2 linked regions of the Anolis sagrei genome follow. The protein of the gene in region 1 purifies or fractionates together with the protein of each later gene. This does not show direct contact. Links are inferred from orthologs where the notes say so. Each region holds a gene or a part of one and is shown on either strand. Other genes may lie near its edges.

Evidence for each region.
Region 2: the proteins of PSMA5 (region 1) and PSME2 purify together in Homo sapiens (co-immunoprecipitation; 5 studies listed by BioGRID and IntAct, with this or other methods). This does not show direct contact. The link is inferred for Anolis sagrei from reciprocal best matches to the Homo sapiens genes PSMA5 and PSME2.

The regions. Positions count from the first base shown.
Region 1 is NC_090024.1:184,747,676-184,758,438, forward strand, and holds the start of PSMA5 (proteasome subunit alpha type-5), read left to right. Parts: upstream 1-6,738; 5' UTR 6,739-6,927; coding exon 6,928-6,956; intron 6,957-9,622; coding exon 9,623-9,689; intron 9,690-10,763. UniProt on the Homo sapiens protein: Component of the 20S core proteasome complex involved in the proteolytic degradation of most intracellular proteins. This complex plays numerous essential roles within the cell by associating with different regulatory particles.
Region 2 is NC_090026.1:8,177,928-8,188,799, reverse strand, and holds the start of PSME2 (proteasome activator complex subunit 2), read right to left. Parts: upstream 4,435-10,872; 5' UTR 4,303-4,434; coding exon 4,252-4,302; intron 3,820-4,251; coding exon 3,787-3,819; intron 2,541-3,786; coding exon 2,478-2,540; intron 2,168-2,477; coding exon 2,081-2,167; intron 1,739-2,080; coding exon 1,711-1,738; intron 1,271-1,710; coding exon 1,173-1,270; intron 1,052-1,172; coding exon 983-1,051; intron 1-982. UniProt on the Homo sapiens protein: Implicated in immunoproteasome assembly and required for efficient antigen processing. The PA28 activator complex enhances the generation of class I binding peptides by altering the cleavage pattern of the proteasome.

The DNA.
Region 1 (10,763 bases):
TTTCCTTATGTGATAGAAGAGACTACTCCTTCCCTGCTCCTCTTATGGCTAGCTCAGCATTCCTCCTATATTTAGGGAACCTGGGCCATGAAATGAATGCTTGGCATAAAAATAGTCCATTTAAACTTTTTAGAAATGATGTAGGCTTGTTGCAATGCAGTCCTTTTAGAAAGATGGCAATGGGAAAAAAGACAAAGAAAAACTGACCCACTTTACTGATGTAAAATGGTGCCATGTGCCTTGTTCTGGGACACATGTTTAGCTTTCCAGGGGTTTCATATTACAAGGATAGGAAGTGTGTAGCCCTCCAGATGCTGTTGGATCATACCCATCAGCAGACCTAGCCAATGTTCCCAATGATGAGAAGTGTTGGGAATTGCAGATGAATAGCATTGCAAGGTTCACATGATTTCTCCCTCTTATCATAGCTGTTAATTTTGAGAGTAATGACTTACAATTAATGTTATCTTAATTTGCTATTTTGGGGAAATACTCAGGGGACAGTCTGTATATTTTTTGCCATTCTAAATCATGCCAGAAATCTATTGTATGAATTAACTCAAATTAATCTCAATGGCTAATATAAACTAAATATTTTGATATGTTTGCACTACCAGTTGTTGATGCATTGAAGCTCTGATTTCAGGCTACCAAACAGTCATTTCTAAATGGGATCTTGGGATCCTTGTAATGGGTTGATGGCTTATCATTCACTACTGAAGTTGTCTGGAGTAAGCGTTATAACAATGTAATGCAAGAGAATGGAGGACCTGCAATTCACATTATAATGAGACTGAATAGGTGGATACCAAAGAAGAGCAATTTGTGAGTTATCACCAGTAGAACAATGTGCAATATGGATTACACATAGCAGAGTGTAAATTTAGGATCATCATGATTCAAAATTTATGTGATCTCAGAAGGCATCAGTTATGGGATGTTGGAGTGGACTGACTATTAGTTTGATTTTCCAGTACTTTTCCATAATTCCTAAGATATAGGTCCAACTCCATTAGAACCTACTCCTGGATAAGTTTCAAATCCAATCAACAATAGGGTTACACTGTTTACAGAAAACCCGCACACAGAGATAGATAGATACCTACATAAAAACTCCAACCATCACACAAGTCAAAAAAGAAATACCATTAAAGCCTTGGCAGACCGTGCAAAAAGAATCTGCAAATCCCACCTCCTCCGAGATGAACTGAACCACCTAAACCACCACACTTCCCAACAAAGGATTCCCCCAAGCAGGAAGCAGCCAGGCTTTGACACTGCAAGGCCGTTCAATGCTAATCAAGGTGGCCAATTGCAACATACACACCTGCTTCAAACAGACAAGAGTTCTTTCTCCCACCCCAGACATTCCACAGATATATAAACCTCAGTTGCCTAGTTTCCAACAGGTCTCACAACCTCTGAAGATGCCTGCCATAGATGTGGGTGAAATGTCAGGAGAGAATGCTTCTGGATCATGGCCATACAGTCCAGAAAACTCCCAGCAACCCAATTGTTCATATTGTTTGTGTTAAATGTTTTGATACGGCCAATAGGCCAATCAATAAAACGTATCTATCTATCTATCATATTGTTTGATTTGTTTGCCATTCTGAGGTTTCACGTTAAAAGGTCAGGATCAAAATATTTTAATAACAATTCATAAATTAAAAACTCACCACTTCAGTTGATGTATTTATTATTCAGATATGAGAAGAAGTTGTATAAGAGAAAGGGAGTAGTCTATGAAGTAAAGTACCAATACGGCATGGCAATTTACTACTAATGTGCAGGCACAATACATTTTGAAATGGGGACTACGGGCATCAATTCCCTCATTGCTGTGCCACCATGGCAACTGAAGGGAAATGCAAGTAGTTTACTTTCACAAGAGGCTGTATCTAGAGACTGAGAAGTGGATTTGCTGAGTCAGATCACTCACGGGGTTCTCCTTCATATACAAGTCTCTGGACCTCTCCATTTTGATCAAGAGGCAGTGAATATTTTAGTGTCACTCTGCTGAGCCATAAGATGCTTCCAGAGGATGCTTTCATTGTGCAATGTCTTCTCCACAGGTGGAGAGGCAGTATTCAGGTCTCACTGATTTCTCCATCTATTTGCAAACCACAAACTCCATTAAAAAGGGAGAAATTGAATAGCCGCCAAGTGCCTATAGATTGGTAGTAAGATCAACTGCTCAAGAACACCTTGGCACATGCTGCTGAGACATTTCAGGTGCATAAGGGATGCATCTACACTGTAGAATTAATACAGTTAATTGCTATGGAATTACAGAAATTGTGATGGAGCCCTCAGTGGTGCAGCGGATTAAACCACTGAGCTACTGAACTTGCTGATTGAAAGGGAATCTGGGAAGTGGGGTGAGCTCCCACTGTTAGCCCTAACTTCTGCCAACCCAGTATTACAAAAAATATGCAAATGTGAGTAGTTCAATAGATACTGCTCGGGCAGGAAGGTAATGGTGCATCTATGGACAATGCCAGGTCTTATGGCTTAGAAATGGAGATGAGCACCACCTCCCAGAGTCAGACACGATTAGACTTAATGTCAAGGGGAAACCTTTACTTTTACTACTTCATGGAAATTGTAGTTTTATATATTTTTTAGCCTTCTCTGCTAATAAGTGGTGGTGCCTAACCAAACTACAACTTCCAGTATTCCATAGTATTGAGTCATGGCTATGGAGCCCCCGGTGGCACAGGGGGTTAAACTCCTGTGCCGGCAGGACTAAAGATCAACAGGTCACAGGTCTGAATTTAGGGAGAGCATGGATGAACCCCCTCTGTCAGCTCCAGCTCCCCATGCGGGGGCATGAGAGAAGCCTCCCACAAGGATGATAAAACATCCAGGCATCCCCTGGGCAACATCCTTGCAGACAGCCAATTCTCTCACACCAGAAGCAAATTGCAGTTTCTCAAGTCACTCCTGACACGAAAAAATTCATAGTAATTAAAGTGGTGTCAAAATGCATATTTCTATGGTGAAGATGCAGCCAAGGTTTTGGCAGAGCCCACCCCACCCTCCTCCTGTCCATACATTTATTTATTTACTATATTTGTATACCGCTCTTCTCAGCCCTCAGGGTGACTCAGAGCGGTTCACAACAGCAAATACAATACTTAAAACATGATAAAAACAGGTGAGAACAATTTAAAAGAATAACATTATAACAATCAATAAGCATCAAACATCTCATATCATCTCATAGTTAAAATCAAGATCCAGTCTCATCATCCAATTGTTCCATATTTCTGTATTAGTTACACTGCCTATTCAAATGCCTGCTTGAATAACCAGGTCTTCAATTTCCTCCGAAATGTTAACAGGGAGGGGGCCGATCTAATTTCTGTAGGAAGGGCATTCCACAACCGAGGGGCCACCACTGAGAAGCCCCTGTCTCTCGTCCCCGCCAACCATACTTGTGATGCAGGTGGGACCGAGAGCAGGGCCTCCCCAGATGATCTTAACGTCCTAGCTGGTTCATAGGAAGAGATCTGTTCGGACAGGTAAGCAGAGTATGCATCTGCTCTATATCTCATTACTGTTTCCCTCTTTCCCATTTTAACATACAATACAGATGCCAAGGTATGTGAATTTGCATTTTGCTGGTGCCAGAAGGTAAAGGCTGCATCTACACTGTAGAATTAATACAGCTTGACAGAACTTTATCCGCCAGGTTCAAAGATGTGGGGTTTTTTGGAGCTGTAGTTTCATGAGCCATACAAGACCTTCTATAACCACAACACCCACGATTCCACAGCATTGAGCCATGACAGTCAAAATGGTGTGAAAAGGAATTTATTCTGCAGCAAAGCAAATAAAAATAATCAAGAATTATTATTAATAATAACTTATTTTTTACCCACGCCTCCTTATGCCTTGAGGCAGCAAATAATACTACACCCACAATGCTGTTTTTATGATCAAGTTTAGTTTGTTTTAATTTGCTTTTAATTATTGTATTTCAATATAAATATGAAGTCAATACAGAGTTTATGGTATAGTAGAGTATGACCGTAGTTAGGCTTATTTTAAATAGTAACTCTTAAGCAACTAGAAATTCAATTTATCAAGCACTTGCAATAATGTATTTTTGAAGGCTTTCATGGCTAGAATCACTGGGTTGTTGTAGGTTTTTCAGGCTGACCTTTCACCTGCATCTGTGGCAGGCATCCTCAGAGGTTGTTGGAAACTAGGAAAATTGGGTTTATATATCTGTGGAAGGTCCAGGGTGGGAGAAAAAACTCTTGTCTGGGTTGTTTTAGGTTTTTTCGGGCTGTATGGCCATGTTCTAGAATCTAGGGGAATTCTCTCCTGACGTTTCACCTGCATCTATGGCAAGCATCCTCAGAGGTTATGAGACCTCACAACCTCTGAGGATGCTTGCCATAGATGCAGGTGAAACATCAGGAGAGAATGCCTCTAGAACATGGCCATACAGCCCAAAAAACCTACAACAGCCCAGTGATTCCAGCCATGAAAGCCTTCGACAATACATTGAACTCTTGTCTGTTGGAGTTAGGTGTGAATGTTTCAATTGGCCACCTTGATTAGCATTTAATTCTGTGACATTTTTAGGTGTGGCTTATCACTTCCTGTTGAGAGGTGATTAGATGTTCCTGATTGTTTCTTGTCTGGAGTTCCCCAGTGTTTGAGATTTGTTCTTTATTTACTGTTATAATTTTAGAGTTTTTTTAAAATACTGTTAGCCAGATTTTGTTCATTTTCATGGTCTCTTCCTTTCTGTTGAAATTGTCCACATGCTTGTGGATTTCAATGGCTTCTCTGTGTAGTCTGACATGGTGGTTGTTGGTGTGGTCCAGCATTTCTGTGTTCTCAAATAATATGCTGTGTCCAGGCTGGTTCATCAGGTGCTCTGCTATGGCTGACTTCTCTGGTTGAAGTAGTCTGCAGTGCCTTTCATGTTCCTTGATGCGTGTCTGGGCGCTGCGTTTGGTGGCCCCTATGTAGACTTGTCCACAGCTGCATGGTATACAGTAGACTCCTGCAGAGGCGAGAGGATCCCTTTTGTCCTTTGCTGAACGCAGCAATAATCCTCCTGGGTTCCGGTGAAGGGAGCGTCTCCCATCTGACTTCCAAGGAGTGAGGATGAGCCTGCCTTTGGCACTGCCCTCCCAGCATCTTTTCTGGCCGGCTGCCTTGTGTCCTTCGCCTCCTTCCTCCCTCTCGTCATCTACGCTGCAGAACGGACCACCAGCAACAGGTTGTCTGGGTTGTTGTAGGTTTTCTGGGCTATATGGCCATGTTCTAGAAGCATTCTCTCCTGACGTTTCGCCTGCATCTATGGCAAGCATCCTCAGAGGTTGTGAGGTCTCACAACAGACTTCACAACCTCTGAGGATGCTTGCCATAGATGCAGGCGAAACGTCAGGAGAGAATGCTTCTAGAACATGGCCATATAGCCCGAAAAACCTACAACAACCCAGTGATTCCAGCCATGAAAGCCTTCGACAACAGGTTGTGTGTTTGATAGAAAGCCTTCGTCCCTTCCCGTGACTGTTTGGACTGTTTACCTTTATCCATAGAGCCGCGTGTATCCTTTCACCAGGAGCCTTGAAGCGGGATGGGTACGCGTGAGTATGCGAGGGTGCGTGTGGACGAGGAAGGAGCACAGCTCAATAAGAAAGCGGCTGATTCAGGAAGAGGGCGCGGGGATTGGATAATATGGTTGGATTGACTCCACAATGTTGAATCAATGCAGTTTGCTACCGCCTCAACTCTCCTGGTTCAATGCGATGGAATGCTGGGATTTGTAGTCTGTTCTCTCTTTGCATGTGTACCTGCATTTAGGATTGATTAGTTACGTTCCTCTTTATTATTTACTTGAAAGCACTTTGTTACAATACCGATGAGGAGTTCTTTTCAAAATTGGGTTGTTGTAGGTTTTTTCGGGCTATGTGGCCATATTCTAGAGGCATTCTCTCCTGACCTTTCGCCTGCATTTATGGCAAGCATCCTCAGAGGTTGTGAAGTCTGTTGTGAGGTCTGTGAGGTATCCAGGAGTAGGTTCTAATGGAGTTGGACCTATATCTTAGGAACTATGGAAAAGTACTGGAAAATCAAACTAATAGTGCACTCCAGCATCCCATAACTGATGCCTTCTGAGATCACATAAATTTAGAATCATGATTATCCTAAATTTACACTCTGCTATGCGTAATCCATATTTCACATTGTGGAATGTCCAGGGTGGGAGAAAGAACTCTTGTCTGTTTGAAGCAAGTGTGGATGTTGCAATTGACCGCCTTGATTAGCATTGAATGGCCTTGCAGCTTCAAGGCTTGGCTGCTTATTGCCCGGGGGAACTCTTTGTTGGGAGGTGGTTAGCTGGCCCTGATTGTTTCTTGTCTGGAACTCCCCCGTTTTTGAGTGCTGTTCTTTATTTACTGTTTTGATTTACTACAGCTCCTATGAGTCCATAGCATTCAGTCATGGCAGCTGAAAAGGGGTCAAACTGCATTCATTTTACGGTGTAGATCAGGCATGGGCAAGCTTGGGCCCTCCTGGTGTTTTGGACTTCAACTCCCACAATTCCTAACAGCCTCCCGACTGTTAGGAATTGTGGGAGTTGAAGTCCAAAAAGACTGGCATCCGACAGCCAATCAGCGCTTGCATCGAGCTTCCCCGTAAGGGCCAATGAGAAGATAGCTTTGTAAGATCCCGCTTCGGCATCCGATTGGTCGGCGGAGCGTGCGAGACGTACGGCGCGCAGGACCACGCATGCGCGGGACGCAGTGGCTAGTGAAACCGGGTGCTACGCTGACAGGGCCGCAGCCATCCTCGACCTAAAGTAGCGGCTTCCAGTCAGGTTTGCGGCCTCCCCTCGGGCGCCCTTCCGTCCCATCCTTTTCCTCTGCTGCTCCTGCCACTGTCGCTAACAGCAACATGTTCCTCACTCGCTCCGAGTACGACAGGTGAGTTGGGCCAGGAGGAGAAGGAGGCGCGGCCTGGTCCTGCCGGGGCTGAGTCACTCTGGGAGGCCCGGCGCGCTCCCTCGCTCGCTCGGCGTTTACATGCCAACGGAAGTGGGGGAGAGCTGCTTCCGCTTCTTCCTCCCCTTCCCCATTTTCTGGAGCCCACCACTTGGTTCCTTCAGTGGGACGAGGGGCCTTTGGGATGCGCTTAGTCACCCCTCTGAGCTTCCTTTTTGCACAGTCAAGGTTCTTCTACACTGTAGAATGAATGCAGTTTGACACCACTTCTCCCGGGAGTTGTAGTTTTAAAAGGTTTTTAGCCTTCAGTGCCAAAGAGTGTTGGTGGCTCCACAAACTACAATTCCCATTTTCCCCATAGCATTGAGCCATGACAGTTAAAATGGTGCCAAACTGCATTCATTCTCCTAAGGCAGTGGTTCTCAACCTGTGGGTCCCCAGATGTTTTGGCCTTCAACTCTCAGAAATCCTAACAACTGGTAAATTGGCTGGGCTTTCTGGGAGTTGTAGGCCAATACACCTGGGGACCCACAGGTTGAGAACCATGGTCCTAAGTCAGTGGTTTTCAACCTGGGGTCCCCAGATGTTTTTGGCCTTCAACTCTCAGAAATCCTAACAGCTGGTAAACTGGCTGGGCTTTCTGGGAGTTGTAGCCCAATGCACCTGGGGACCCACAGGTTGAGAACCATGGACCTAAGGCATCTTGTTCAGCATGCACACTAGATACATAGGCACCATCTATATCAGGCCTGCAGAACTCATGGTCCTCCAGGTGTTTTGAACTTCAGCTCTCTAAATTCATGACCATTGGAAAAGCTGGCTAAGACTTCTGGGGGTTGAAATCTTAAATACCAGGAAGGCCAGAGATTGTGTAGGCCCGATTTGTACTGTTAATGCAGTTTGACAACACTTTCACTTCTGTGGTTTAATATAACCCCCTCACCCCCTACCAAAAATAAAAACAACAATAATATAGAGCCACAGATGTTAAAGTATCAAACTGCATCAATTCTACAGTGTAGAGCAGGCATGGGCAAACTTTGTCCCTACCGGCTGTTAGGAATTGTGGGAATTGGAGTCCAAAACACCTGGAGGGTAGAGGCATCAATAGCTAATATTTATTACAAAGACATCTGTCATTATACAGCTTGAGTATCCTTTATCCAGAAACCTGAAATGTTCCAAACTTGTCCACGTGGGTGACTGTAATAGTGACACCTTTGCTTTCTGATGGTTCAGCATACACTAACTTTGCTTCATGCACATACATTTTTTAAAATATTGTTTGTAAAATTACCTTCCGGCTAGGTGAATATGAACCAGAAATTAATTTCATGTTTAACTCAGGTTCCATCTCCAAGCTATCTCACTGCAGAATCATAGAAACAAAGAATTGGATGAGACCATTGAGGTCTTCTAGTCATTATATAGATTACTCACAGTAACCTATCTCTTTTTTATTTGTGTTTCCAATATGCTCACCAATAGGCAAAGGAACAAGTGATTTGTTGCTGGAGAGGTTTATGTCCCTTTTTTCAAATTGTATGCTAATTAGAAATGTATATATAAAGGTCCCCTGTATTTATCATAGATCTCAAGGTAGTAGTAAGTTAACATATTCCTGTTCAGGGCAAACAGAGCTAACTGCATTGTGCAACAATAAAGTACTGTCTCAGTTGCTGAGTAGGAAAGGCCTCAACCAGTTTCCTTAGTCATAGTGAGAAGCTTTTGCTTTCAGTTACACTGAGCTGGGCTGAACTTATTAATCATTCATCCTTCTACATGAGATGAAGCTAAATGTTACATAAGAAAATAACTTGGAAATGTATTGTAAAGAAAGAAAAAGAAAACTAGAAAATTTAAATTAGTTATATAGAGAATATCAAATAAATTTATAGAGTCCTGCTAATATTAATTTTATAAACAAATACTAAATGAAGGGCCTTCTCACTGCTCAAGTGTCTTCAGGCCCCTCTTACCCTGCCTTAAAATCCAGATTATCAAAGCAGATAATGCACATTATGTGCTTTTATCTGAATTATATGAATCTACTCTGCCATATAATTTGGTTCAAAGCAGATAATCTGGATTTTATATGGCAGTGTACAATGGGCCTTAGCGTGTTATCCTGCTAAGAGAAATGCACCTTTTTATATGTTGAAGTTGTCTCATTCTTTAGGGAATCTAAATGTTACTTCTTTAATTCTTGCAATTTTTAATTTGTTTTATAGTTTCATTAAAAAAATTAATATAAGTTAATTTTAAAATTATTTAAAGCTACACATTTTTGCGGAAATATTTCATATTAATTTAATAAAGAGACATTACCAAGTACACTGGAAACTTGGAGTAAGGCTAATGTGATCACACTTTGATCTCTTTTGCTTTGGCCTTACCCTGAACAATTTTCATGTTTTGTTGATGTTTTGTATCTTAGGTTTTCAACAGGTTGTTCTGTTGATTAGAAATGAAATGAATAAATAAATGCCCTTGCTTTAATGCAGTCAGTACCATTATTTCAATTGAATATGTGATCTGCTGGCACATGTCTTTAGCATTGTTGAAGATTTTGGTCCTAGGAACATTAAATTCTGAGTAAACATGCATAGTATTAGGTTATACATTTGACTTTTGTCTTCCAATTATAGGGGTGTGAACACTTTTTCTCCAGAGGGAAGATTATTCCAGGTGGAATATGCCATTGAAGCTATCAAGGTACAATAAACATTTGAAACGATTGTCTTAAATATTTCCACATCCATTCTACAAGGATGGATGGATTGGAATGGGAAATCTCAAAGATTAAACTGCAGAATTTCAGCAATGTGCTCCCAAATATGTATTTTTGAATTCAGAAATATTTTTTTTTTCATGTGATCTTTTGCTATATACAGTTGCATACTTCTGGAATATTAATTTGAGTAATTCCTTGAGAGTTACTGTAGGTAGGGGAGGGAAAGAAGATTGCTCACAGGAGGCCTAGGACTGACCATGAAAGTCAGATAATATCTTCTCATATATTACTTCCAAAAAAAATTCTAAAGTCATTCCAATATACCTTTTTGCATACTGTAAAAGGCATGAAACTTCTCTCTCTGTCTTTCTCTCCTTCTCTTACCAGAATTACACACTTAGCTCACACTAGGCTTTAATGTTTCTGCTTTACAATATAGCTGTTTTAAATTGGTTTGTAGCACTTTCGTCCAGACTGCATTAGAATTCATTTTAATGAATTTGGCATAGAAACTTCATAGAAGAGAGCAACTAGTCATCTTCATTATGAATTTGTGCTTAGATTGTGGAGCCAATACATATTGTGTACTACTGTCTCGTCTGATATATTGATGTGATTTTACCTGTATTTCATGTGGTTATGGCACTTGTATGTGCTTCTGTAAGCCACCTCAAGTCCTTCTTGGCGGGTATAAATAAAGTTTTTTAATTATTATGATTATTATTACCATAGTTTTGTGTATGTTTAGTTATGTCATACACTTTTTATCTTAGTCATAACACCCATGTGATCAAAAAGAAAGGATTTAAAAAGTAATGATTTTGAATGTTTAAACCAGGGAGTGACACAGTATAGCCCTGTAGTGTTCAGCCCTCCAGATTTTGTTGGACTGGAATGCCCATAAGCCTCAACTACCGCTACTGACAACCCATTAATATGTGGAGGGCTGAATTTTGCACACTCCTGCTTTAAGGCTTCGACAGAGGCTTTCTGTAGTCAAACCTTTGTACATTTGGCTTCCCTACAAGCACCATTCCCTGGTCATCTCTGTGTAC
Region 2 (10,872 bases), on another chromosome or scaffold:
AATGAACCATAAACTGCCGTAACTACAACTCCCAAATGACAAAATCAATCTCCCCCACAGCCCCACCAGTATTCAAATTTGGGCGTATTGGGTATTTGTGCCAAATTTGGTCAAGTGAATGAAAATACACCCTACATATCAGATATTTACATTACAATTCATAATAGTAGCAAAATTACAATTGCAACAAAAATAATGTTGTGGTTGGGGGTCACCACAACATGAGGAACTGCATTAAGGGGTCACAGTCTTAGGAAGGTTGAGAACCACTGTTCTATGGCATGCATATGTGTCTATGTGTTGTGTGTATGTGTATATACATATATACAAGTGTGCATAAATCTGTGTATCCATATAGGTGCGCATGTGTGTATAAATTTGTATGTGCATGAGTATATGCTTGTGTGTATATATGTGTGTGTATGCATATCTTTGTTTGTATAGGGGTGAGTATACACACACTCACACACATCAGTATATGTTATGTTATGTTTTATATTATATTATATTATTATATATTATATAATATTATATTATTATTATATATTATATTATATTATATTATATTATATTATATTATATTATATTATATTATATTATATTATATTATATTGTTGTATAGTATGTGGAGCCCCCGGTGGCGCAGTGGGTTAAACCCCTATGCCGGCAGGACTGAAGACCGACAGGTCGCAGGTTCGAATCCGGAGAGAGGCGGATGAGCTCCCTCTATCAGCTCCAGCTCCTGATGCGGGGACATGAGAGAAGCCTCCCACAAGGATGATAAAAACATCAAAATCATCCGGGCGTCCCCTGGGCAACATCCTTGCAGACAGCCAATTCTCTCACACCAGAAGCGACTTGCAGTTTCTCAAGTCACTCCTGACACGACAAAAAAAAATTATAGTATAGTATAGTATATTATGGATGCAAGGGGTCCATGCTCAATTGGGTCCAGGGACATACAGATCTCCATGGATCTTACCTGAACCGCCACCCCAAAATCATTGCCGTCTTCAATTTTGGGAATCATGAACTGAATCCAGGTGGTGACCTGATGGAACGAGAAGGGGAAACCGAGGCACAAATTTAGGACAGCAGCACATCTAGCACCATACAAATGTTTAGTACGTATTCCATCTTGTAAACAGAGCATTTGCTTGGTTCCAACTCACCAAGGCGCATTTCTCCTTGAACTCCCGCACTTCGGGTTTGACGCGATCCAAAAGCGACAGGATGGCTTCGTTGCCTTTCAGGTAGCCGCATTTGGGAGCTGAGAAGGAAACCAAATAATCAAGGGCAAGCCATAAAAGACTATCATTATTATCCCACCTAAAGGTAAAGGTAAAGGTAGTCCCCTGACATTAAGTCCAGTCATGTCTGACTCTGGGGTGTGGTGCTCATCTCCATTTCTAAGCCAAAGAGCCAGCGTTGTCCATAGACACCTCCAAGGTCATGTGGCCGGCATGACTGCATGGAGCGCCGTTACCTTCCCGCCGGAGCGGTACCTATTGATCTACTCACATTTGCATGTTTTCGAACTGCTAGGTTGGCAGAAGCTAGGGCTGACAGTGGAAGCTCACGCCGCTCCCCGGAATCGAACCTGCGACCTTTCGATCAACAAGCTCAGCAGCTCAGTGCTTTAATCCTATACCTACAGATCCCACCTACAGACCCCAATTCCCTGACTTTCCAATAGTGTTGTTTGCTCACCTTCTTTCTCTTCCTTCTCTGTTTCCATCTGGAGGGGGAACAAAAACAGACTCGACAACATCAAGCGTTGAACTTATAGGAAACACTAGAATTTCTTAATTGGTAGGGAAAAAATATTAAAAATAATAGAATCTTGGAAGGGATACCCTCAAAGGTCATCTAGTCCAACCCCATTTTAATAAATTCTGCGTTGGGGATGTATCAAACTTTGGCCCTCCAGGTGTTTTGGACTCCAACTCCCACAATTCCTAATAGCCTACCGGCTGTTAGGAATTGTGGGAGTTGAAGTCCAAAACACCTGGAGGGCTACAGTTGGCCCATACCTGGGATAGACCCAAAATTGGGCACTGGCTTTACTTGAATACCTCACCTCGTCATCTTTGGGAGGAGGATCTGGAATGGGAATATCCAGCGGAGCATGGAGAGAGGTCAGATCTTTGACATTCAGCGCATCTTCCTGGGGAAAAAAAGAGACAAAAATAAATATATTACAAGGAAAAAAGCAGAGATCATAAACTCAAGGTGCAACTACACTGCAGAGTTAATGCAGTTGGATACCACTTTAACTGCTATGGATCCTGGGAGTTGTAGTTTGGTGAGGCACCAGAACTCTGGCAGAGAGGGCTGAAGGCCTTGTGAAAACTACAACTCCCACAACCCCATAGCATTAAGCCATGGAAGTTAAAATGTGTCAAGCATCATTAATTCTATTATTTAGATGCACCAGGAATACTCAAAAAGGTGGGATGTGGGGGTCCGTCGCTTACCTTCAAGAACTGGTCCAACTGTGATATTTTCGCAGGTAAAAAACGGCAAAGGAATTCTTCACCCTAATCAGGAAATGCAAGAATAAAATTATCTTGAGAATATGAAAGATTGGGAAATTTTGAAACAAGGGGTGCATCTGCGCTGTCAAATTAGTACAGTGAATTTTGGACTTCCAGAAGCATTCTCTCCTGACGTTTCACCCACATCTATGGCAGGCATCCTCAGAGGTTGGGAGGTCTGTTGGAAACTAAGCAAGTGAGGTTTGTATATCTGTGGAATAATGTCCAGGGTGGGAGAAAGAACTCTTGTCTGTTGGAGACAAGTGAATGTTGCAATTGACCACCTTGATTACCACTGAATATCCTTGCAGCCTCAAAGCCTGGCTGCTTCCTGCCCAGGAGGAAAATGCGAGAATAAAGTTAGCTTGAGAATATGAAAGATTGAGAAATTTGAAAACAAGGGGTGCATCTACACTGTCAAATTAATGCAGTGAATTTTGGACTTCCAGAAGCATTCTCTCCTGACGTTTCACCCACATCTATGGCAGGCATCCTCAGAGATTGGGAGGTCTGTTGGAAACTAGGCAAGTGGGGTTCATTTACCTGTGGAATAGTGCCCAGGGTAGGAGAAAGAACTCTTGTCTGTTGGAGACAAGTGAATGTTGCAATTGACCACCTGTTCCTGGGGTTATTTGGGGCACTGATTCGGAAAATTATATTGAATTATTTTTTATGAGGCGAAGACTGCTATATTACTCTAAAATCATAACAGTAAATAAGGAACAACATTCAAAAATAGAGGAACTCCAGACAAGAAAGAGTCAGGGACAACTAACCATCTCCCAACAAAGGATTCCCCCAGGCAGTAAGAAATTATACTTCGAAAACTGGTAAGACCATTAAATGCTAAACAAGGTGGCCAATTGAAACATTCACACCTAGCTCCAGCAGACAAGAGTTCTTTCTCCCACCCTGGACACTATACCACAGATATATCAACCCCACTTTCCAACAGACCTCACAACCTCTGAGGATGCTCACGCTGGATTTGGAGCAGTACCTATTGATCTACTCGCATTTGCATGTTTTCAAACTGCTAGCTTGGCAGAAGCTGGGGCTAACAGCGAGAGCTCAAAATGGATTCAGAGTGGTACCTATTGATCTACTCACATTTGCATGTTTTCAAACTGCTAAGTTGGCAGAAGCTAGGGCTAACAGCAGGAGCTCACCCCGGATTCGAACCGCCGACTTTTCGGTCAGCAGCTCAGCGGTTTAACCCGCTGCGCCACCAGGAGTAATAGTCACTTACCTCTTTTAAAAGCGATTTCCGGAAAAGGTCCATCTGGAAAGAGATCAAAACAAAAAAATATGAATTGTTTCAGAATACAGATTGAATTGAATTATATGGATCTATAAGCATGGGCAAACTTGGGCCCTCTGGGTGTTTTGGACTCCAACTCCCACAATTCCTAACAGCCTACCGGCTGTTAGGAATTGTGGGAGTTGGAGTCCAAAACACCCAGAGGGCCCAAGTTTGCCCATGCTTATAGATCCATATAAACCAATTCAATCTGTATTCTGAAACTAAATGATGGAGATGATGGGACTTGTAGTCCACCTGAATGCTAACTTCCCTTATCTTTGTTTACCATGGAAATCCCCCTCCCTTCCAAAGTAAAAGTAAAAGTCATTGACCTTCTTTCTCTGCTTTCTCTCCCCAAATCCCTTTCTGGGCTTTGCTCTTGCCCCCCATGGATTCCCCTGGGATGCCCACCTTTCCTTGGGTCTCCTTGCTGATCTGGAGGGAGGTGCAGGACCTGGGCATGATGGCTTGGTTTGGAGGCTTCCAGGGAGAGGTTCAAGGCAAAGACCAAGCAGGCTCCTTCCCCAAACGCTGAGCCACCTTTTGACGCGTCTTTCGCTTTCGCATTCACACGTTTCCGCCCACCACGCGAGGGCTGCCCCGCCCTCCAGGCAGGGGTGCCTCTGACCATGCGCAGAGTGCCTTTTGGACTGCAGGCAGAGCTCCTTTTCCATTCTTCTCCATTTAAGTTTGCATTGCAATGCCTCTGAGCATGCACAGAGTGCCTTTTGGACTACAGGCAGATCTCCTTTTCCATTCTTCCCCATTGTAATAACTCTGACCATGTGCAGAGTGCCTTTTCGACTACAAGCAGAGCTCCTTTTCCATTCTTCCCCATTTAAGTTTTAATTGCCGTGTCTCTGAGCATGCACAGAGTTCCTTTCCAGTCTTCTCCATTTAAGTTTTCATTGCAATGTCTCTGATCATGCACAGAGTTCCTTTTCCATTCTTCCCCATCTAAGTTTGCATTGCAACGCCTCTGAGCATGCACAGAGTTCCTTTTGGACTACAGGCAGGTCTCCTTTTCCATTTTCCTTTCAGGTCTTCTCCATTTAAGTTTGCATTGCCATGCCTCTGAGCACGCACAGAGTTCCTTTTGGAGTACAGGCAGAGCTCCTTTTCCATTCTTTCCAATCTAAGTTTGCATTGCAATGGCTCTGAGCATGCACAGAGTTCCTTTTGGACTAAAGGCAGATTTCCCTTTCCAGGCTTCTCCATTTAAGTTTGCATTACAATGCCTCTGAGCATGCACAGAGTTCCTTTTGGACTACAAGCAGATCTTTTCCACTCTTCCCCATTGTAATAACTCTGAGCATGTAGAGAGTGCCTTCTGGACTACAGGCAGTTTTCCCTTTCTAGTCTTCTCCATTTAAGTTTGCATTACAATGCCTCTGAGCATGCACAGAGTTCCTTTTGGACTAAAGGCAGTTTTCCCTTTCCAGTCTTCTCCATTTAAGTTTGCATTACAATGCCTCTGAGCATGCACAGAGTTCCTTTTGGACTAAAGGCAGATCTCCTTTTCCATTCTTCTCCATTTAAGTTTGCATTGCAATGCCTCTGAGCATGCACAGAGTTCCTTTTGGACTGCAGGCAGATCCTTCTTTTTTGATCTTATCCATTTAGATTTGCATTGCCATGCCTCTGAGCATGCACAGAATTCCTTTTCCATTCTTCCCCATCTATGTTTGCATTGCAATGCCTCTGAGCATGCACAGAGTTCCTTTTCCATTCTTCCCCATTTAAATTTGTATTGCAATGCCTCTGCGCATGCATAGAGTTCCTTTTGGACTACAGGCAGATCTCCTTTTCAATTCTTCTCCATTTAAGTTTCCATTGCAATGCCTCTGAGCATGCACAGAGTTCCTTTTCCATTCTTCCCAATTTAAATTTGCATTGCAATGCCTCTGAGCATGCACAGAGTGCCTTTTAGAGTACAGGCAGAGCTCCTTTTCAGTTCTTCTCCATTTAAGTTTGCATTGCAATGCCTCTGAGCATGCACAGAGTGCCTTTTGGGGTACAGGCAGAGCTCCTTTTCCATTCTTTCCAATCTAAGTTTGCATTGCAATGCCTCTGATCATACACAGAGTGTCTTTTGGAGTACATGTCAATCTTCTTTTCCATTCTTCCCCATTTAAGTTTGCATTGCAGTGCCTCTGAGCATGCACAGTGAGCCTTTTGGGGTACAGGCAGAGCCTCTGAGCATGTACAGAGCATGTACAGAGTACAAATAGGTTTCCTTTTCCATACTTTGGACTATAGGCAGATCTCCTTTTCCAGTCTTCTGCATTTAAGTTTACACTGTAATGTCTTTGAGCATGCACAGAGTGCCTTTTGGAGTACAGGCAAAGCTCCCTTTCCATTCTTCCTCATTCAAGTTTGCATTGCAATGCCTCAGAGCATGCATAGAGTGCCTTTGGGAGTCCAGGCAGAGCTCCTTTTCCAGTCTTCCCCATTGTAATGCCTCTGACCATGTGCAGAGTGCTTTTAGGAATATAGGCAGAGCTCCCTTTCCAGTCCCCGGTTAGGTTTGCATTGTAATGCCTCTGACCATGCACAGAGTTCCTTTTGGACTAAAGGCAGATTTCCCTTTCCAGTTTTCTCCATTTAAGTTTGCATTGCCATGCCTCTGAGCATGCACAAAGTGCCTTTTGGACTACAGGCAGGTCCCCTTTTCCATTCTTCCCCATTTAAGTTTGCATTGCAATGCCTCTGACCATATGCAGAGTGCATTTTGGAGTACAGACCAATCGACTTATCCATTCTCCCCCATTTAGGTTTGCATTGTAGTGCCTCTGACCATGCGCAGAGTGTATTTTAGAATACAAGCAGGGTAGGTTTGCATTGTAATGTCACTGAGTGTATTTTGGAATAGAGGCAGACCTCCTTTTCCATTGTTTCCCGCTTAGGTTTGCATTGCAATGCCTCTGACCATGTGCAGAGTGCTTTTAGGAATATAGGCAGATGTCCTTTTCCAGTCTTCCCCATCTAAGTTTGCATTGCAATGCCTCTGACCATGTGCAGAGTGCTTTCAGGAAGATAGGCAGATCTTTTCCAGTCTTCCCCATCCAAGTTTGCATTGCAATGCCTCTGACCAAGTGCAGAGTGCTTTATGAGCTTAGCAGTTCTTATATCCACCTCCCCCCCCCCAAGGTATAGTTTGCATTGTAATGCCTCTGATCACGTGCAGAGTGCTTTTAGGAATATAGGCAGATCTCCTTTTCCAGTCTTTACTATTTAAGTTTGCATTGCAATGCCTCTGACCAAGTGCAGAGTGCTTTTAGGAATATAGGCAGATCTTCTTTTCCAGTCTTTACTATTAAGTTTGCATTGCAATGCCTCTGACCAAGTGCAGAGTGCTTTTAGGAATATAGGCAGATCTCCTTTTCCAGTCTTTACTATTAAGTTTGCATTGCAATGCCTCTGACCAAGTGCAGAGTGCTTTTAGGAATATAGGCAGATCTCCTTTTCCAGTCTTTCTTATTTAAGTTTGCATTGCAATGCCTCTGACCAAGTGCAGAGTGCTTTATGAGCTTAGCAGTTCTTATATCCACCTCCCCCAATGAAGATGATGACAACAAAAAGCAAGACACTTTCCCAATACTGGAATCCCCAAGCATTCTGAGCATGCGCAGAGACATCCTGGTCGAAAGGATTTCCCGTCTGGCTTGGCTCAGTAGTGGAGCTGCAGTTCTTCCTCCCGCCAGACGGTGCCGCTGTCGGCGTCCTCCTGCCAGCTTAGCCTTGCCCTTCCCTTTCGTTTTCCGTTCCTTTTGGCTCTTCCGCTTCAGTCCTCAGCTGTTGGGCTCTTTGGAGGAGGAAGGGGCTCCACTTCCGGCTCTAATTGGTAAGCAGGACCCCTTGTTGAGGGGTTTCTCCTTCCCATTCCTATATACAAGTTAAATGTATATTTAAAGGAATAGATAGTTAAAAGTTAAGTATGTATTCAAAGGAAATAGTAATTTTAAGGCAGGCCTGGGCCAACTTGGGCCCTCCAGGTGTTTTGGACTACAACTCCCACAATTCCTAACAGCCTCAGGCCCCTTCCATAGGAAGGGGCCTGAGGCTGTTAGGAATTGTGGGAGTTGTAGTCCAAAACACCTGGAGGGCCCAAGTTGGCCCAGGCCTGCTTTGAACTGTATATTAAAGGGACTATAATAAATAAAAGTTAAATATATATTTAATAGAATATATAATCTGTAAAGGCCAAAGTTAAAAGTCTAATATATGTATTTAAAGATCTATACAATACAATAAAGTTATATATTTTTAAAAACTATATAATACATAAAAGTTAAATGTCTATTTAAAGGAATATATCATGTTAAATGTTATCTATATAAATAAAAATGGAATGTTCGTTTGTGGGATTAACAGAACTCAAAACCCACTGGACGAATTGGCACCAAATTTGGACACAATACACCTAACAACCCAATTTACGTCCTTCACTAAAAAAAATTTGATTTTGTCATTTGGGAGTTGTAGTTGCTGGGATTTATAGTTCACCTCTGGTTGCTTCTGGATACGAAAGCTGACTGGCACAACCTGGGGATCACAACCAGACACAGTGAAGACATCTGTCCTTGCGCTGTGCTACTCTGCTGCTGAGTATGCATGCCCAGTGTGGAACACATCTCACCACGCTAAAACAGTGGATGTGGCTCTTAATGAAACATGCCGCATTATCACAGGGTGTCTGCGCCCCACACCAATGGAGAAATTACACTGCTTAGCCGTTATTGCACCACCTGACATCCGCCGGGAAGTAGCAGCCAATAGTGAAAGGACCAAGGCAGAGACATCTCCAGCTCATCCCCTGTTTGGGTATCAGCCAGCACGTCAACGACTTCAATCAAGACATAGTTTTCTTAGATCTACAGAGACACTCGCTGGAACACCCCAGCAAGTGAGAGTCCAAAAGTGGCAGGCCCAAACCCAGCACCTCAATCCATGGGTGATACCAGATGAGAGACTCCCCCGTGGGCACACAGAAGACTGGGCGACTTGTAAGGCGCTGAACAGACTGCGCTCTGGCACCACGAGATGCAGAGCCAACCTTCAGAAATGAGGCTACAAAGTGGAATCTACGACATGCGAGTGGGGAGAAGAGCAAACCACTGACCACCTGCTGCAATGCAACCTGAGCCCTGCCACATGCACAATGGAGGACCTTCTTGCGGCAACACCAGAGGCACTCCAAGTGGCCAGATACTGGTCAAAGGACATTTAATCAACTACCAAATTTGCAAAATCTGTGGGTTTTTTTCTTTTTCTTTTTAATCTGTGTGTTTGCTTTGCTCTGTTAGAATTGTAATACAATGGTATGGTTGCTGATGACACCATAAATAAATAAATAAATAAATAGTTCACCTACAATCAAAGAGCATTCTGGACCCCACAAACGACAGAATTGGGGCAAATTTCCCACACAGAACCCTGATGACTGACAGAAAATATTTAAGGTCATCCAGTCCGACTATCTTCACTAGGGCAAGAAAATGTAATCAAAGCCCTCCTGACAAAGAGTCATCCAGTCAAAAATATAGATAGATATATATGATTCTATGTATTGACGAAGATCCACCCAGAGGAAAAGTGTGCTTGCTATACATCAAGGGAACCACTGACCGCATAGGGAAGCTGATGAGGAAATACAACATACAAACTATCTACAGAAACACCAAGAAAATCCAACAAATGTTACGTTCAGCAAAGGACAAGAGGGATCCTCTCACCTCTGCAGGAGTCTACCGTATCCCATGCAGCTGTGGACAAGTCTACATAGGGACCACCAAACGCAGCAGCATTGCCCAGATACGCATCAAGGAACATGAAAGGCACTGCAAGGTAATTCAACCAGAGAAGTCAAGCCATAGCAGAGCACCTGAGGAACCAACCTGGACACAGCATATTATTTGAGAACACAGAAATGCTGGACCACTCTCACAACCACCATGTCAGACTACACAGAGAAGCCATCGAAATCCACAAGCATGTGGACAATTTCAACAGAAAGGAGGAAACCATGAAAATGAACAAAATCTGGCTACCAGTATTAAAAACTCTAAAATTACAACAGCTCAACAACAGAGAGGAAACAAACAAGGACATCTAATCACCTCTCAACAAAAGTTTGCTCTAGGCACTGTCAAAGCAAGACACTGTCAAGCCATTATATGCTAATCAAGGTGGTCAGTTGAAACATTCACACCTAGCTCCAGCAGACAAGAGTCTTTTGTCCCACCCTGGTCATTCCACAGATATAGAAACCCATTTTTCTAGTTCCAACAGACCTCACTACCTCTGAGGATGCTTGCCATAGATGCCGGCAAAACATCAAGAGAGAATGCCTCTAGACCATGGCCATATAGCCCGAAAAAACCTACAACAACCCGTATATGATTCTGTATAAGGACCAAGTAGCAACAGTAAGAACTGACCATGGAACAACATATTGGTTCAAGATTGGAAAAGGTGTACGACAGGGTTGTATCCTCTTCCCCAACCTATTCAACTTGTATGCAGAACACATCAAGCGGGGCTTGACAAATGCAAGGCTGGGGTGAAAATTGCTGGAAGAAACATTAACAACCTGAGATATGCAGATGATACCACTTTGATGGCCGAAAGCGAGGAGGAGCTGAGGAGCCTTCTAATCTAGGTGAAAGAAGAAAGCGCAAAAGCTGGGTTGCAGTTAAACATCAAAACAACCAAGATTATGGCAACAAGAATGATTTACAACTGGGAAATAGAGGGAGAAAACGTGGAGGCAGTGACAGACTTTGTATTTCTAGGTGCAAAGATTACTGCAGAAGCAGACTGCAGCCAGGAAATCGGGAGACAGGCAGGCCTTCAAATGCTAATGAAGGTGATCAGCTGAAACATTCACACCTAACTGCAGCAGGGAAGAGCTCCTTGCCCCACCCCAGCCATTCCACAGATATATAAACCCATTGTCCTAATTCCAACAGACCTCACTACCTCTGAGGATGCTTGCCATAGATGCAGGCGAAACGTCAGGAGAAATGCCTC